Caenorhabditis elegans: one gene and its partners. The protein of the gene in region 3 purifies or fractionates together with the protein of the main gene of each other region. This does not show direct contact. Each region holds a gene or a part of one and is shown on either strand. Other genes may lie near its edges.

What was found.
Region 1: the proteins of mppb-1 (region 3) and prp-4 fractionate together in Caenorhabditis elegans (co-fractionation; one large-scale study listed by BioGRID). This does not show direct contact.
Region 2: the proteins of mppb-1 (region 3) and idha-1 fractionate together in Caenorhabditis elegans (co-fractionation; one large-scale study listed by BioGRID). This does not show direct contact.
Region 4: the proteins of mppb-1 (region 3) and idhg-2 fractionate together in Caenorhabditis elegans (co-fractionation; one large-scale study listed by BioGRID). This does not show direct contact.

The regions. Positions count from the first base shown.
Region 1 is NC_003279.8:8,732,896-8,737,641, forward strand, and holds prp-4 (Pre-mRNA processing factor 4 (PRP4)-like domain-containing protein), read right to left. Parts: upstream 2,823-4,746; 5' UTR 2,813-2,822; coding exon 2,726-2,812; intron 2,661-2,725; coding exon 2,508-2,660; intron 2,442-2,507; coding exon 2,304-2,441; intron 2,262-2,303; coding exon 1,982-2,261; intron 1,936-1,981; coding exon 1,768-1,935; intron 1,719-1,767; coding exon 1,601-1,718; intron 1,305-1,600; coding exon 1,074-1,304; intron 996-1,073; coding exon 788-995; intron 741-787; coding exon 633-740; 3' UTR 518-632; downstream 1-517. Other genes in the region: C36B1.6 (putative tumor suppressor protein), read left to right, coding at 251-488; dhfr-1 (Putative dihydrofolate reductase), read left to right, coding at 3,327-3,461, 3,506-3,636, 3,683-3,835, 3,878-4,028; gls-1 (Germline survival defective-1), read left to right, coding at 4,177-4,323, 4,373-4,523.
Region 2 is NC_003279.8:8,605,997-8,610,587, reverse strand, and holds idha-1 (putative isocitrate dehydrogenase [NAD] subunit alpha, mitochondrial), read left to right. Parts: upstream 1-1,956; 5' UTR 1,957-1,964; coding exon 1,965-2,033; intron 2,034-2,076; coding exon 2,077-2,151; intron 2,152-2,197; coding exon 2,198-2,302; intron 2,303-2,349; coding exon 2,350-2,556; intron 2,557-2,602; coding exon 2,603-2,726; intron 2,727-2,770; coding exon 2,771-2,853; intron 2,854-2,916; coding exon 2,917-3,089; intron 3,090-3,370; coding exon 3,371-3,464; intron 3,465-3,511; coding exon 3,512-3,658; 3' UTR 3,659-4,039; downstream 4,040-4,591. Other genes in the region: lmd-1 (LysM domain-containing protein), read right to left, coding at 1-88, 139-231, 281-428, 478-657; F43G9.13 (Vesicle transport protein), read right to left, coding at 4,056-4,148, 4,211-4,290, 4,337-4,421.
Region 3 is NC_003282.8:9,073,077-9,077,113, reverse strand, and holds mppb-1 (Mitochondrial-processing peptidase subunit beta), read right to left. Parts: upstream 2,442-4,037; 5' UTR 2,438-2,441; coding exon 2,405-2,437; intron 2,359-2,404; coding exon 2,236-2,358; intron 2,187-2,235; coding exon 2,100-2,186; intron 2,040-2,099; coding exon 1,910-2,039; intron 1,857-1,909; coding exon 1,471-1,856; intron 1,388-1,470; coding exon 1,283-1,387; intron 1,228-1,282; coding exon 1,108-1,227; intron 1,057-1,107; coding exon 960-1,056; intron 912-959; coding exon 616-911; 3' UTR 543-615; downstream 1-542. Other genes in the region: mans-4 (alpha-1,2-Mannosidase), read left to right, coding at 1-339, 382-520; Nuclear hormone receptor family member nhr-11, read right to left, coding at 3,594-3,695, 3,746-3,894. UniProt on the Caenorhabditis elegans protein: Catalytic subunit of the essential mitochondrial processing protease (MPP), which cleaves the mitochondrial sequence off newly imported precursors proteins. Preferentially, cleaves after an arginine at position P2.
Region 4 is NC_003279.8:6,972,516-6,977,573, reverse strand, and holds idhg-2 (Isocitrate dehydrogenase [NAD] subunit, mitochondrial), read right to left. Parts: upstream 3,017-5,058; 5' UTR 2,813-3,016; coding exon 2,735-2,812; intron 2,643-2,734; coding exon 2,535-2,642; intron 1,938-2,534; coding exon 1,836-1,937; intron 1,690-1,835; coding exon 1,561-1,689; intron 1,482-1,560; coding exon 1,389-1,481; intron 1,337-1,388; coding exon 1,205-1,336; intron 1,146-1,204; coding exon 735-1,145; intron 685-734; coding exon 616-684; 3' UTR 503-615; downstream 1-502. Other genes in the region: C30F12.4 (LITAF domain-containing protein), read left to right, coding at 3,905-3,932, 3,983-4,094, 4,142-4,452, 4,759-4,883, 5,039-5,058.

The DNA of each region.
Region 1 (4,746 bases), on a different chromosome or scaffold from region 3:
CATATTTGTCTATAAAACATTCAGATCCATGCCGGTCTCGACACGATCGATTTTTTTATAGGCAAGGGTGCATTCGCCTTCAGGAGTACTGTAGCTTCAAACTCCTATTTTTTCATATTTAGTTCTCTTTGAAATTGTATTACAAACAGAAACATATCATGGGAAAATTAGTAATATTAAAATAAACACTAATTATGCAGAAATTTAACAAAAGTGCTTATTTTCCATCTTCAACTTGATAATTTTCCAGAACCATACTTGGATGTGTACTGGTGATTTCAACATTTTCCCGTAATAATGAATGTGATCAATTATTATATTGGACATCATTTATTTTCTGTGCATTCTTCATCATCTTTTATTCAATTACAACATGCATTTTTATATGTTGTTGCTGTTGTATATTTACTGGAGCATATCGTTCTGTTCCCACAAATGAAGAAGTTCAAATGGGGGCCCAGTACACCGGTCGGAATACTAAAGAATGAGTCATTTGATAATTTTTCACCTCACCAATAAAAATAAATAAGTTTTATTCTAATTCACAGATCATTTTCGGGAGAAGAGAACAACTTGAAAAAAGGAATATAATATGAAACCAACAATTGAAGTAGAACATTTACTAAAACAAATCAATAATCAGATTGAGCCCATAATTTAAATGTACGATCAAATGCCGATGAGCACATCCATTGTCCATCTGGACTGATGTCTACGCACAGGATTCTAGTATCGTGACCCTGAAAACATTTTTTTTAACTCAAAAAGTTAAGCTCAATTGATATACCTGAAGTTGTCTTAGTGGTTGCCATCCAGTGGTCGACCACATTTTAAGAGTACAATCGAAGCTGGCAGAAACAAGATATTGGCCAGCAGCATCAGCACGCACCCGGGTAACAACTGATGTATGAGCTGGCATAGTGTATGTATTTCGTCTCATCCGAAGATCCCAAACTTTCATTGAATTGTCCGAGCTTCCAGTAATCATTTCATAACTGAAAATACGTTGATAACATCAATATTTCAAGTAAATGGTTTTAAAACAAAAAGTTATAATGTCCCAGTGAACTAACCCATTTGGCATCCATTCAACACTGTGAATTTCTTTTGTGTGACCATCAAGGAACATAATACATCTTCCAGTTCGCATATCCCAAACTCTTCCATAACAATCGTGTCCGCCAGTTAGAGCGACTGATCCATCTGGATGGAATGCCACATCAGCTACTGATTTTGAGTGTCCTTCTTGATAAAGTAACTCTTTTTTCGTTGTCAAGTCGTACATTCTCCACGTGGAATCGAAGCTGAAAATGATTATCTTGTAGAGACTGAAATTCAAAGGTTTTCTGAATACTGCATCAGAAATAATCGAATATTTTTGGCAACTGTAAAACCTGTTTATTTCAATACGATAATCTAATTTTTTAGACGAAAAAGCGCTGAAAACTCAGCGCCGAATTCGGCAACAATGAAAGTTTGAAGCTACAGTACTCTTTAAAAAAGCGAACACGCTTTTATTTAACGACAAATTGTCGAGTCGAGACCGATTACCGTATTTTCGGCTCTAAAATCGTCGTGTTATTACCATTAAAAAACTTACCATGCAGTAGCGAGATGATGACCATTTGGATGGAACGCAACTTTAGATACTCTTTGTGGATGTTGTTCTAGTTCTCCGATTGGTGATTCCTGGCTTAGCGACCATAGAAGAACGGTTCCTGAAATCACGAATTTTGAGAAAATTGAGCAAAAATCAGTTATATTTACCATCATACGAACACGAAACCACATTCAAAGAAGAATAATCATTCTGAGTAAATGCACCGGGATGAAAACGTGCACACCCTGCTTGAGATGAATGTCCAATAAATTTAATTTCTTGAGCACATTGTTCTCGCTTCCAAACTGCCACTGATCCGGACCAGCCAGCGGTAACTGAAGTTTTTGATTAGTTGGAAAGTTCTACTTAGAAAAAACAAACCAATATGTTCAGAATCTGCTGAAAATTCACAAAAAGCCACAGGGCGTGTGTCTGCAACTTGAGAAGCATGAAGATTGATTTGTTGAACCCATTTGTGAGCTTCTTGACGAGCCAAAGCTTTTTCGTGAGCAGGGCGAGCAGCTTCTTCTCGAGCTTTGTCAAGTCTTAATTTAGCTTTTCTTAGAGAAAAATCAGCGATTGAAACGCGTGCCATCCGAAGTTCAATCGGACCACGATGATACCAAGTAACGGTTTCTTCGTCTGCTTTATCAGCATTCACCTTCAAATTTTTAAATAATTTTTCAAACATTGAAAAACTTACTTCATCAGTATGCAAAACGGCTGCAATTTCATCTTCAGACATTGTTGAAAGTAGAGCTCTAAGTCTTTCTCTTCTATCCAATGCATCTTCTCCGAACAAACAAATTGGTTGGTTTAGAGCACGAAGTTTCAGTTTTACCTTTAAAATATATCTTCAAGTGGGTAGTTATTAAAAAAATTTTATTCATATGTATCAAAACTGTACCTGAACATCATCTGTTGGCAATGTGAGAGTTCTTGCTCTCCGTCTTCTATCAAATTCTGCAAACATTTCAGCATCGTGGCGTGAATCTGCTTGATTTGATACTTCCATTCGTTCCAAAGACACTGTGGGTCCATGGTTTTGCTGTTGTGCATTCTGAAATTTTAAATTAAAATTCAGAAAAAATAACATAGTCAAAGAATTCATGAAAAAAAACATACCAAGATTGCATTCACGCTTTCTGCATTCGCCAGTGATCCAAACTGTCTTGGCGGTGCTGGAACAGCAAAATTGCCATTTTCAGCCATTTTGTGTGCTCTTAAAAAATTTAATTACTTTAAAAACCACTGTAAAGAATATGAAGTTATATATTAGGACATTCAGAACGAAGATGTGAGACATAGGAATGGGCTTGTAGTTTTATTATAATTTATTATATTTAGTTGTGAAGTTTAAAACATTTTAAAGTGAACAAAGGAAAGAAAATGGCATAAAAGTTCAAAAAAAGCGGTGAAAATTCTTCGAAAGTGGGAACCAGTAATCGCGCTCTAATGATAATTTGAAGAAATCTGAGGTTCTCTCACTTCTTCTCGATTCATTTTCACCCTCATTTTTTTTTGATTATCTATTTTTATTGATTTTCCCACGATTCATTATCTTTATCTTCGAAATCTGTATTGTTTGAAGATTTCAGTCGATACGAAGTCGAATGGAAGCGTATTTCAAATGTGCTTCGTTTTGCTGTGCAAAGTTCTCATTACCCGTTTTTAAAATTTTCTCTGGTATCTCAATCGAGTTATTTTCTATTTCTAGGCATTAAAAATGAGAAAAATGAACTTAATAGTGGCTATGGATGCCGAAGGAGGAATTGGCAAAAATGGCGTGTTGCCATGGCGAATCAAGAAAGACATGCAGTATTTCGCGTCTGTTACCAAAAATGTTTCTGATCAGTCGAAGGTTGTTCGAGATTTCTAACTAAACTTGTAACATAACTTTTGTAGAGAAATGCAGTTCTCATGGGACGAAAATGCTGGGAAAGCATTCCAGTAACTCGCCGCCCGTTGGCAGGACGGCTAAACATTGTTTTGAGCCGACAACTTCCTGCGCAAAAGTCCGATGACTACATTGTTGTGTAAGCTGTCATGAAATAATATTTAACCTGTTGTTGTTACATTCAGAAACTCGCTCGAAGCGGCTATGAAACTACTTTCGGAGCCACCATTTGTGGATTCGATCGAAACAATCTGGAATATCGGTGGAGCTGAAATCTATGATCTTGCGTTGCGAGAAAACTTGGTTGATGAAATTCACTTGACACGTATTTTCAAAAAGTAGGGTGCTTGCACAGTTTTTTTACTCTGTCGTAATTTCAGCTTCGAAGCCGATGTTCATCTCAAGTCACTCGATTTCAGTAAAATGGAGAAAGTTCAAAATGCCGAGGTGTCATCGGAAAATTCAGAAATTTTCGAAGAAAATGGATTAAAGTTCGAATTTTGCAAATGGAAGGTTGTCGAGAACCACTGAATTTTTTTTTGAAATTGCTGTTTATTTTTTTAATTTATATGTATTCATTCACCTGTTGTTTACTCGGGCAGCCCACAATTTTCACGTGTAAATATAAAATCTGTACATGATTCTTATTACTATTAACTTTTTGTAATTCATCGTAAGTATGCGATGTTTGATATCTTATTTATTTCATTCCTTCCTTATTTTTTTAAAATTTATCCGTTCAGACGTCACAGCTTTAACTCTTCAAGAAAAGCGTAAGAAGTCTCGGTTAACTGGTATTTTGATGAAAAGTATGGCCAATAAAAAGGTGTGTTGATAAAGATAGTGAAATTCGACATATTTTTCCCTAGTTTCAGAACCATCAGCAAAAGAAAAGTACAGACGGGTCAACGATGAACGGGAATAACGCAACAGCAACTGCCGCTGCAACAACTCAGAATTCATCACAAATTGGACAAAATTCCAATTCCAGTCATAGCGTCACCAACGATAACACTTCCAGCAATAGTACGTATACACGTTTCTCACAAATCTGTTTTGAAATAACAAGGACGGCTGTTCCTAAATAGGTTTTAGAATTTTCTTGCAGCAATTGCAAATTAATTCAAAATTTTGTGTCTTAATTTCCAATGGTTCATTTAAATCGAGATTTTGGAGACCTTGGTCTTCACAATCTGTGCTTAAAAAATGACCCCGAAGAAAAGAAAGAAAGTGAATAGACGAGTACAGA
Region 2 (4,591 bases), on a different chromosome or scaffold from region 3:
ATAGATGACGAAGTTGGGGCTCGAGCGGTTACAAAATGAAAACCAGTGACACCGTGACTTTCTTCTGGAAGAGCTTCTCGAACTTGAGCTGAAATTTTTCTATTTGTTTTTTAATAATTTTTATTAACTTTTATTCACCTATGTTAGTATCAGTTTTATGGAAAATATCCTCGACACTGGGATCTCGTGAGCCTCGATCTTCTCGCAGAAGTGCAGTTCTGTCATCAATATCTGTAAATCTTTAGAAATTAAAGCTTTATCTCAGCAAAAAAAAACTAACCAATAAGAATTTCGTCTTCTTCGTCTTGGCTTAAAGCCGATTGTACGCCTAACGCCATTCTCATTCGGCTAACTGGAATTTTCACTTTTGAAAGTGCCATAAAATCTTGCTCGGATACCATATTATTCACTCGTTTTATTTCGGCTACCTGAAAAATATTGCAAATAAAATATTTTATTGAAACCGACAGAACTCACATTTACTTGATATTTTATTGCCAATTTATTGAGTGTATCGCCGTTTTTTACTTTTCTTTCAATAAAAACTACATCCTTGTATGTGGGCATATCGTTTTGGAAACCTTCACTCGATGAAGTCCTTGCTGCACGACTTCTCATTGCAAATTGCTCCACTGAGCTGCCTTCTTTCATTGCCATTTTACTGAAAATTAAATAAATAAAAATAAAATGTATTTTTCGAAGTTGTCAAAATCCACGAGACACTTAAAAACATCGTGTATAAATCAGAGACGCAGACACAAGTACAGTAATTTTGAAGGCGCCTATCTCGAAACCATAAAATGTGTCCTAACGCGCGTGTGGATTTACGGGCGGAACAGAATCAGCCTTCGAAACGTTAAACTTGTTCAATCCTGTTTTTTTTTATTTTTCTGTATTATTGTAATGATTTTGCCTTTTTTCAGCAAGTAAATTGATAAAACAACACCTTTTACTAAATTTTCTTACATTTGACACATAAACAGCTTTAAAACGCTTAACAACGAAACAATTTCACTAAATAAAAATTTTAACGTTTCAGAGAATGTAAAACTATCGGTTTAATCTATTTTCAGAGTTTCAGCGAACTTAATAATAATCAAGTTTTTTTGCGAAAAAATATATCCAAAATTTGACAAATTATGTCACATTTTCAGATGAATTCCTCATTAAAAATTAAAAGAAAATAGGAAAACGTACCCATGGGTGCACCTTTAACGTCAACGTTTAAACAAGATTAAATAAATACTTTAAAAAAGTGTCCTAGAAGAATGTTATAGTTTTTCACTAATTTATTTTTTAAAACTTGATTAAAACGGAAGAAGCTTCGAAAATCTTCTTTATAATGCATTAATGTCTTATCTCTCAAATTACGCATTAATTGTACGATATCAAGTGAAAGAGAAAGTCAGATGATAGTACATTTAGTACAGTTTTTCACCAAAAATTATGTGTTCCATTATTTAGTTTACATACGTGGTATAATTTTAAATAATCAATAAAAACTGAAATCCACGTCGCAGGATGCCGTAGCTACAGGTGCAAAGAGATTATATCTGGCTAGCTGTTTCCACGCAGCGGGACGCTGCGACAAACGCACGCAAGGATCCGGAAGAAAAAGAGAAACGAAACAGAAAAAAACAATATGCAATGTGTCTATTGTATACCCGTCTCGCACCCTCCATTTGCTTTTCTATTTTTCAACTGGCTTTTGCTGGCCGCCCTTTCCAATGATCGATAAATTGCGCTCTACCGAACACCTCGGCTGCCCTGCTACCGCCCTTTTCCTTGGCTCTTTAATTTAAGGCTTAACATATTTTATTAATGATTCCTGATGTTAAATTTTGATTTTCCAAAATATGATCGTCTAGATAGTCTCAAAAAATGTGCATCGTAAATACTTTTTCATTTTCTTTCTCGCTCAATTTTTCCTTCCATCTCAAATATTTTTGTTTCCAGGGTTCAGAATGCTTGGCAAGTGCATCAAAAAGGCGTCGTCTACCGTCGGACAATCCATCAGATACAGCTCCGGAGACGTAAGAAACCTCGAAACTTTATAAAAAAGCCAGTTTTGTTCAGGTTCGCCGTGTCACTTTAATTCCAGGAGACGGAATTGGGCCGGAAATTTCAGCTTCTGTACAGAAGATTTTTGAGGTGAATTTTCAATTATTTCGTGTGTCTTACATCATGTTATTTCTAGGCCGCCGATGCCCCGATTGCTTGGGACCCAGTTGATGTGACTCCAGTTAAGGGACGCGATGGAGTCTTCCGTATTCCAAGTCGTTGCATCGAGCTTATGCACGCGGTTAGTTTGAAAATTGTACATTTATTTCTGATTGTTACGTTTTTCAGAACAAAGTTGGACTTAAAGGACCACTCGAGACCCCAATTGGAAAAGGACACAGATCTTTGAATTTGGCTGTGAGAAAAGAGTTTAGCCTTTACGCCAACGTTCGTCCATGCCGTTCCCTTGAAGGACACAAGACATTGTACGACAATGTCGATGTTGTCACAATTCGTGAGAACACAGAGGGAGAGTACTCTGGAATTGAGCACGAGGTATATTAAATTAAATAATAAATGTATCACCTAATAATTGTTTCAGATTGTCCCGGGAGTTGTTCAATCTATCAAGCTTATTACTGAAACTGCTTCTCGCAATGTCGCCAGCTTCGCCTTCGAGTATGCTCGTCAAAATGGGCGCAAAGTTGTGACTGCTGTCCACAAAGGTAATATAAATTGAAAAAGAAAATTAAAACAATTATTTTTACAGCCAACATTATGAGACAATCCGACGGTTTGTTTTTGTCCATCTGCCGCGAGCAAGCTGCCCTCTACCCAGATATCAAGTTCAAGGTATGAATAATAGAATTTAAAGAAAAACCACTTCCTGTTAAAATTTATAATCTATAATTTTAGGAAGCCTACCTCGACACAGTTTGCTTGAACATGGTCCAGGATCCATCACAATACGATGTTCTTGTCATGCCAAACTTGTATGGAGACATTCTTTCCGATTTGTGCGCTGGTCTTGTTGGAGGACTCGGAGTCACCCCATCTGGAAATATTGGAAAAGGAGCCGCCGTATTTGAGTATGTTTTTTGTTAAAAAATGCTTTGACAAATGAAATGAACTCAGTTTAGAATTTTTGTTAATTTCTGAAATTTCAGATAAACACATAGAAGTGAAATCGAAAGCAAAAAATACGAAATTATAAAAGTAGGAAATACTAAAAAAGTTGAATTTGATGAAATCTTGCATTTTTTTAATCTTCTCAATAAAATTTAAATCTAATTTTTTTTAACCTGAAAACTTTATTTTATAGCGAAATACAATTTTTTATTCAAACAAAACTTACCAAATTTCTTTACAGATCCGTTCACGGAACCGCCCCAGATATTGCTGGACAAGACAAAGCAAACCCAACTGCTCTTCTTCTATCTGCCGTCATGATGCTCCGTTACATGGTTTTTATATCGTAGTCGGTCTAAAAATTTTACAAGCTCATTTTCAGAACCTTCCACAACACGCTGCTCGTATCGAAAAGGCTGTATTTGATGCAATTGCTGATGGACGTGCCAAAACTGGAGATCTCGGAGGTACTGGAACTTGCTCTTCATTCACCGCTGATGTTTGTGCCCGTGTTAAAGACCTCGAATAAATGCTCAATGCTACTTCCCCTTCTATTTTCTTTTTCTTATTGTAAACAGGCTGTTAGACACTAAAACACTTTGATGATTAGTAATGATTTAATGACACCTTTTTTCGGTTTTCAATTTTGTATAGATTACCCACCAGTCCATCCCGCGTCCTTAATCGCTTTACTCCTATCCCATTGGCATGAACCACAAAATCGTTCGATAAGTCTTCTCTGATTCACTCGCATAACTATAAGCACCCCGAGACTTTTGTTTTTTCTTCTTCTACACCATCTTTCGATTCCCATTATTTCTGTTCATTTCTGGAAATTTTTATATGGTTTTTTCTTTTCGAGATTTTATAGACAAAGAAACTAAAAAAATTTATTAAAGCAATCGTTTCTACATAATCACAATAAGTTACAGCGTCGCGTGGATTCGGGTTACAGAAGTCACGAAAATCAGAAGAGTTTGAATGATACCCATTATTGCACAATACCAAGTGCTCACAGCCTGAAAAATGTTTTTTCCCTCAACTTTTTAACTTCTTGAAAAGTAAATTTTTTTTAACGTACATTTTTCGAAGCGTACATTGCCAGTGCGAGAACCATTGACGTAGGAGCACCAAAAACGAAAGGAATGATGAACATCATTACTGAAAAGTTGAAATTATGAAAAAAAAAAGATTTTCAGAATCTTACTGATAAATGGAATTGGAATAAAGCAAACGTATGGATGTTTTCGAAGAGTGAAAAGGGAAAGAATTGTGGCTCCGAGACTAATTACCTGGAACAATTGAAACATAAAAAATAGTTTCTGAATAAAATATGTCATATTACCCGTAGCAAATTATGCCAAAGAATACAGACCCCAGTTTCGACACGACTAATATACTTGTTGAGTGCATGGTGTGCGTTCATCTGTTTTTATCGTTATTTATTTTTGTTTTTTACAAA
Region 3 (4,037 bases):
TGATCATGACAATGAACATTTGGAAATGGCTAAAAATATTGGAAATGTTTGTCATAAAATGTATGAAAATCCAACAGGACTTGGACCAGAAATAATACATTTCAATATGGAGGATAGTTCTGATATGACACAAGCGGATACTTATGTGAAGAATCTTGATGCTCATTCACTTCTCCGTCCAGAAGCAATTGAAGCGTGGTTCTATTTGTATCGTGTTACTAAAGATAAGAAATATCAAGAGTGGGGATGGAAAGCTTTTGAGTCGATTGAAAAGTATGCAAAAGTGGAAACTGGTGGATACAGCTCAATTGACAATGTGCTCAGAAAGAAGATCAAAAGGTTTGTCAGCATTTTGTTTAATTTTTAATCATTCAAATTCAGACGTGACAAAATGGAATCATTCTTCCTTGCTGAGACCCTCAAATACCTTTACCTTCTAATGGCTGATGATCAAGAAATCCTTCCACTCGATCGATGGGTTCTCAACACTGAAGCCCACCCACTTCCAATTTACAATTGACTGATGCTGTATTTTTCACTTTTTGACGGGTTTTTAGAATTTATTTTTACCAAAAACAAAACGTTTGTCTAACAAATAAACTATAACACATGTATCTATTGCATTCTGATCAATCTTCCATGAATTTCTTCATTAACTGGCCAATACTGCGTCTTTCCAACAACTGCTGCAGAGACCTGTCCTTCAAGGAATACACGTCGGCAAACATCTCGGAGCTGCTGGACTGTGATTGATTCGATTCGGGCATGTAATTCTGGAGTTGGTATCCGACGACCGTAGCAAAGGAGTTGTCGACCAATATCTTCACAGACTGGAGTTGAGCCATCGAGCATTAGGAGTAGATTCGTATGCAGGGAGCGCTTGGCACGATCAACCGCTGCTTCATCAATGTCTGGAAATGAAAGATGTTGACTCAGGACTATGTTAAATAAAAACTCACTGTTCGCAAGCCAAACCCATTGTTGAAGAACTGAATCAATAAGATTGTCGATGGATTCCGGAGCAGCTACGAAATAAGTTCCAACTAATCCTGTCTCCTGAATTACAGAAATATGTAAAAAGAGTTTTTTTTCCCAGGAATTCATTACTTTATAGCACGTGTTAAATGATTGGAAAACCTCAATTCCTGCGTCTTGTGACAATTTTTCAGCCAAGCGAGTTGGAGCATTCACGCCGAATCCACGCATACGATCGTATTCACCCATTAGCTGGAATGATGAACTATCAACTTCTAAGTTATAAAAATATTTTTTAAAAAAGTACCGTATTAGCCACCATAAGGGCAAGATTATCTTCATGGGTCCAAGATACTCCTTCGACAACCATCGCTCCGTACAACATTGGAAGATCTGGAATGTCACCTCGAACCTGAAATGTAAACATTTAAAAATATATTTTGTTAATTCTATTTAATATTTGCTGATAGCGAATTTATTCAAACAAAAACTGACTTCACAGGGACTGTAAGTGGCTGGGACGAATTCAGTTGAAGAATCTCCATGCTTGAGCTCTCCGAAATATTTTTCTGCCATTTTAACAATCGCATCATGATTGACACCTCCGGCTGCTGCTAATACCATTCTGCCACTTCGATAATGTGTATTAATATATCCTTGAAGATCATTCTTATTGATTGTTTGAATTAATTCAATTGGACCAAGAATTGTATAGGAAAGAGGATTTCCTTTGAAAACATCAGCATGAAGAATATCAAATACAACTTCTTGAAAGTTTTGTGCAACTTCTTCCATTTCTCGAATAATTACACCACGTTCTGCTTCGATATCTTTAGTGGCAAGACTGCTGTTCAGAAGAATATCCGAAAGAATATCGACGGCTGCAATTCGGAATAGATATTTTAAAAATTGCATTAATAATTTTATTTCTTACATTGGTCAAGCTTTTCTGTAAAACATTTAGCATAATACGTCGTGCTTTCTCTAGAAGTGTACGCATTTAGATGAGCTCCAATATTTTCAACTTCAAGCTCCAATCCCATTCGAGTCCGGCGAGGCGTTCCCTGAAAAATTCGGATTTTTATATGAAATTCAAAATTTTCTAAAAATTAAATTAAACTAACTTTGAACGCCATATGCTCTAGAAAATGAGCTGTTCCATTGTTTTTCTCATTCTCGTAGCGACTGCCGGCATCAATAAATACTCCGATCTAATAAAAATAGCTTTGAACAAACAAATAATTTAGGAAAAATAATTACAGTAGCAGTAGATCCACCTGTGTTTTCTGTTGCAACTCTGAACCCATTCGGAAGTGTCGTTACAATTGTTTCTGGGACAAATACTGATTTCGGCTGAACTTGTGCGATTCTTCTTTGGGAAGTCTGAAAAATAAATTACTTTCACTGTAAACAAAATTGTTTAAATTACCTGATATAAGCCGGAGGCTAGTCTTCTGTACATTTATCTGAAAAAAATTTATATGCTCTATTTTCAAGGAAACAATGGTTACGCAATAGTGAAGCTCAATTTGTCGGCTAAACACAAACAAATCTACGTAATACTGGAATAAAAATCTTTTTGCTGACATTGATACAACAAAACGATTAGAGTAACGAATTAAACAAAAATTGAACAGAATTGCAGAAAATGCTTCTAAAAAAGTGAAATTAACTTTGTCCACGAGGTGTACGTAGCGAATGGAAGAACTTTCACAAACGCGGCCGCCGCGGGCAAAAAGGCGGAAGTTTGAATAAAAGATTTTGAACAATTGCACGCGGTATTTCATAACTTCGGAATTTCCAATTAATTTTTCAGATTATGCAGACATATAAAATTTCGAACCAAATAAAAAACATCAAGGGGCTCTCGTTTAGAGCTTGTATTTTTGGAAAACGATGTCCAGGGAAACGGTAATTTTGGAAATGTCCTTTCGGGGATTATTTATAATCGCGCACAAACAGGAGTGGGTATCTAGCGATCCTTATTCATGATTACAAGAGAACAAAAGAGCATATCGTGTTTTTTTAATATCTAGAGCCAAATGTTCATAATAAGTTCTGATCATTTCATAATGAATCAATTTCTAGAAATTAAAAAAAAAAACGATATAATCTGAAAACTCTTACTACCACAGTACAACTACAGTAACCCAACAGTATCTCTCCATGAACTCCAACTCAGTATCCCATCAAAAGAAAACAACTGAAATTTACTAGAACTACTTGAGAACAAACTAAAACTGTGACCTATGCATTTTTAAAAAATATTCATACATTTGTTCATATCTAGAATATATGTACTATGAAAATTAATTTTTAATTCGTATGTAGTAAAAAATCATTAGTAAAGGATACAATCCTTGTCATTGTAGTAAAAATGTCCACCGTAACAAAAGATACAAACTGTAGCAAAAGATCGAAATGGGATAACGGAGTAAAAAATACGGTTGTAGCAAAAGAGTAAAACGTCGTAAAAGATCTATGTATGCAAATCATAGTAAAAGAGATCACGTAGTAAGAGATCAAGTAGTAAAACAGTATTTGCCCTTGTTTTATTGACGATCATGATAAAACAATAAAATTTGAACATAATAAAACACTTTCACACAAATATTTAGCTAGTATTGAAAATTAAGCATTTCATGAAGCATTGAATCACAGTTGAGAACATTGAAAACTGTGAGCATCACGTAAGAAGTTGTGAGTTTTTGAGCAGATTCCTGTAATATCCTTTGTTTGCTGGATAGCTGTTATACAAAAATAAACAAACCCTGAGATAATTCATACTCATCAGAAGTTCTCCAACACGATGCTCTCCGCCTCCACCTGGTGAATGACACATTTTTGATAGAAAGCCAATTATGATATTCCTTTGTCTACGACATTTTTCACGGCCATTTTCAGTTAGCTTGAAGTATGCTGAAATTATTGAAGGATTAATTTGAAAGTTGAATACATTTTTTTAAAAAGATTATGAACTTATGTATATCGTATTTGAATTTTTATTTAAAACAAATCTAAATGTGTTAATCACTTTGGCAGAGTCACTCCTCCGTGTAGAC
Region 4 (5,058 bases), on a different chromosome or scaffold from region 3:
AATAATAATTAGTTTGAGCCTTAATTTGTATTCGCAAAAAATTTTTTGAAATAGCTTCAGAATTGTAAAAATTATTTTCTATAAACTTTTGAAATGGAGAGCTTTAACAGAGGAAAACATTGACTGACTATTGATGTTGAACCGATTCGTCTCCGTCCCTTCTTTTCTGTTCTATTTGTATTTCATTTGTCGTTGAATCGTTAATCTGAATGGTCAACACTACAGGCTCTTTCTCTGGGTTCATAAGCTTCAGAAAACAATTGTTACAATGAGAAATGATGTGGTGTACTGTCCAAGGAGAATAAAGATCAGATACAAAAATTTTCAAAATTTAATCTACGTTTCAAATTTTGGTTCATTTCTCTGTTTGAATTTCCTTTGCCCTGTCTGATTGGTCATGGGGCTCTAATTTTTGGATGAAATATGAACAGGGGATATTCTAAAATTGAAAATTCGTGTTTTTCAGAATTGCGTTTTTCATTAAGTTTTATAAACCCACAAATCAATTTCAATATTTTTATTTATTTACAAAAGTATAGTTGAAAAACATAAAAACCTGACACGAAATATTAAAATCCAGAAAATTAAAATTATATCAAAGCACGAGAAATTTCATCAATGTTTTGGGTTCTCGTCCATCAAAACTTTGATGTTCTGAAGAGTTGCGTTGATAACATCACTGGCCTGTAACAATGGTTTAGGTTTTTTTTTGGAAACTATTTAATTTTACTTACCGAATTATTTCCTCCAATATCAGCAGTGTGAATTCTTTGTTCAACAAGAGCCTTCCACAATGCATCGGAAATAATATTAGCGTGATAATGGCATCCCAAATATCTCAACATATCAACAGATGCTCGAATGAACGCAGTTGGATTGGCAATATCTTTTCCAGCAAGAGAAGTTCCAGTATTACGAGTTCCTGTTTCAAAAACAGCATATTTATCTCCAAGATTCATTCCAGACACTAATCCAGGTCCACCGACAAGGCCACATGCAATGTTCGAAATGATATTTCCATAAAGATTTGGCATAACCATTACATCGAACTGTTGAGGTTTAGAGACAAGTTGCATTGAGGCATTATCCACAATCATTGCTTCAAATTTGATATCCTTATAATCTTCTGACATGTCCCGAACAACCTGAAATATCATTTAATATTCATTATTTTAGGCCTTAAATTGAAACGTTAAAAACACACCTTTAGGAAAAGTCCATCTCCAAGTTTCTGAATATTAGCTTTATGAACAGCTGTAACCTTCTTTCTTCCATTTGCTTTTGCATATTCAAATGCCATTCTTGAGATTCTCTCAATTTTCTCACGGGTGACGATCTCAAAGTATTTATTTAACTGAAAATACAGGAAAGTAGGAATTTGAACTCACTTTAATGCTTTCTACGATTCCTGGAACTGCTTCATGTTCTAATCCAGAGTATTCTCCTTCCGTATTTTCACGTATAAGAACAATATCAATTCCCTTAAAAATAAGAAGTTTTAACAATTGAATACAATTTTTTTAAACTCTCCAACTGAAACAAATTGGTAAGTTTACTTACAGAATGTCTGGTAGGTACTGTTGGAATTGTGACACAGTGAAGAATATTGGCATAGAGATCCAATTTAGTTCTGAGTTCAACGTTACGAGAGTTGAATTGTGGATCGTCGTGTTTTGTTTCAATGTTTCCCTGAAATTATTTTATATACATTAGTTGTAATATTTATATTTTGACATTAAACTAATGCAAATTTTTAATTCAATTCAAAAAAACAGAGGTACTTTTTTTTACAATTGAACAAGCAGGTATTTCACTAATTTTATTTAATTCATTACCTTTATAGCAACACCATTTCTTTCAATTGCCAGCATAGCAGCATCCATGTCTCCATCCAAAAGCGACGATGAGACTTGCACTTCTTCAAAGTTGACTGGAGCCTAAAATTAACATCTGTCTCTTTTTTTTGCTTCACCTTATCCATTTTGGTAGTTCTCAACATGTGAAAAAGGATTACGATTAACTTGTATTCTACCAACTTTTTAAAAAAATCAAAAAGAGTCGAGATACGAGCAATCAAAGTTGAGCAATAAAATCCAAAACTAATAGAAGAAAAACGATACTAAAAAAGCTTATGAGCAGTGAAGAATATTGAAATTAAATATTGTGTGTTTTAAACCCAAACACGGTTACGGTATATTGTAAATCCAGTTTAACGTGACTTTAAAATGATAACTTGAATATGGTTTTTAGAACTTTCACATTCTTGAAGAAGCAAGCTTAAATTCAAATGTGGGTACTTGTGTATGATACCCCCGCCATTAAACATTAATTTTTTACCTTATAAAATAAAAATGTGTGGAATTTTAGGCTTAGGAAAACAGCACTCCGAAGCCTAATAAGGAAAATGGGTATCACGTTTAATTTAAACAAATAAATTAATGGAAATTTGATTAATTTTTACAATGGCGGGGGTATAATACACAAGTACCCAAATGTGCATAGTAGACTTTATATTTTCAAGCATGGGAACCTACATGACAAAACGAGAAAATATTTCTGATATGGGCAATCATCTCGGGGCCAATTCCATCTCCAGGAAGGGCACAAACTGTATGTCGACCACCATATTTTGCTAGTGGGAGCTGAAAAAGTGATTATATTATGGTTTTTGGAAGAATTGCATTTTGCTACATTTTATTTTATAATTTTAATTTTCTGATAAGATAACTCTTACTCTGTGACCTGGAATTTGATGGGTACGGATTGCAGAGGCAGCTCCACGAACCGCTTGAATCGGAAGTTTTGAGAACATTCTTAAATTTTTGTTCTTTAGTTATAAAAGCTTCGTTATTGATTCATTGTCAGTTAGGAATTCGATTAGGAAGTTAAGAAGAACTTAAAATATCTCAAATTCGTAAATTTTTTTGCTAGAGACTGTCTAGTATTTCAAAATTTGAGACAATATGTATGTAGCTATAGAATATTTAATTTGAGAAAAAAGGTATCGATTAAATGTAGCATGGGATTCTCCAATGCTCAGGGTCCCGGGAACAAAAAGACGGGCGTTTTCATGAACATCTGCGTCTCTACATCTCTCTTATCTCTAACGTGGTAAACAACTTGGCAGGCACACACACATTTGTTCGGCTTATCAAGAAAGAAAAGAAAAGTTTGGCAGAGAAAATTGAAAAAGATAGGGAAGTGCGGCTCAATTCAGGTGCAAGAACACCCTGACACGTGTTGAATGTGGTCAAAATTTCAGAGTTTTGACTGAAAATTGATGAGACATAAATGGGGAGTTGTAATAAAAAATATTAGACGAATTGAAAGTTTTGTCACTAGTGGAAAAAAAACGATATGACTTCAGTGTGTGAGAAGATAGAAATTTCTTTATTTGGAAACGAAGAGTTTTAAATCATACTCCGGTGCGGGAAATGTTTCGCTAGGTGCTAAATTTTTCGGGATTAATCCTAGTTTTCTCTGGCCACTTCAAAATTTGAAACTTCATAGACTTAATTTTCTACATGAAATGAATTCTCCTGTATAACTTGGCACCTGTAATGACAACAATTACTGAGATCGTGGCGAGACCCACTCGAAACATTGGCAGTGCCTTTAAACTGACATGTCAAAACTTCGCGAAATCACGATATTTCTATACTTCCGATTTTATTTTAAAAAACTTATACAGTTCTTCTCAAGTTTTAAGATTGCTTGACACTTTTAAACTTTTTTTTAAATAAAAATAATATTATTGGAAATGTTCGTTTGCAATTTTTATAGTGAACTACGGTATGCAATCAAAGTACGCAAACACATCGACGCACTTCTCACAGACTGAGATTCGAGGAATTATTTTTTTTTATTTTCTCATCTGTTTTCAATCGGAAAATCGTTGCTCAAGATGACAATTAATCCGACTGATTACGTCTGTAAGTTATTTTATAAAATAATCTAAAAATTTTAAACACCTAATTTTCAGATGAAGAGCCCCCACTCACGCCTGATGGAAGAGTTCAATTTTTGGGGCCCGAAACTGTCAAGTACATTTCTCCACGAAGAGTGGAGGTTATGCGGCAACATATCAGACCAGAGTGAGTTGAAGAAAGAAAATTCATTGGAATAAATTCACAATTTACAGGATTTCTCAATATTCTCAACAACAACCGCCACCATATTATTCATCTCAAGTCTATCCATCAGTTCCATCTGCTCCACCAATTCAACCACAGCCTCAAATGGTTCCAGTTTCAATGCCAATGGTTCAACAGCAGTACATGATGCCCCAAATGGCTCAAATGATGCCTCAGCAAATTGTTATGCAGCAACCGATCATGACAACTGCAGGACCACAGATGATGATGACTCAGATGGCTCAAATGGCCAATCCAGTGCAGCTTGTCTCACCTCAACCGCCTGTCCAAGCCCCACCGCAACAGCAGGCGTCGCCAGGTATATTCGATAAGTAATATTAAAAATTATAAAAAAATTATACAAGATATATATATATGTTTCGGCGAAACTTCATTTTTATAAAATACTCGATACTCCTTGTTTTTTATTGAAATCCAGTCTCAGACATCGAGAAAAAAAGCGCTCGAACACAAAATTAGAACTCAAAAAACCGGATGTCCAATTTGTGAGACCTAGTCTAGACAAATTTATTTTTATTCATAATTTCAAGTTGCCATTCACCTTTTTTTAATCATCAAAAAGTAGAAATTTCCACTTCTTCTTTTATTTATCTTAAAATTTCAGCTATAACTCTGTGCGTTAACCAGTCTCCACAAATTGGTGGATCTCCCGGAGGAGGTGTGGGTGCACTCGTCTGTCCGAAATGTCGAAAAGGAATCATCATGCGAAAACAAGATCGATTGAGAAAGGTTAGTCATTTTTGCTGATTATTTTTAAAGTGCAACGAGATGATTTTGATAGTCAGAAACGAAAATATTATAAATAGCTGATTTACATGATAACTTCGAAGGTCGAAACTATCACACTTTAAAAATTTTATTTTTAAAGTTTTAATAATTTTTAGAAGATTTTGATGTGCCTTGC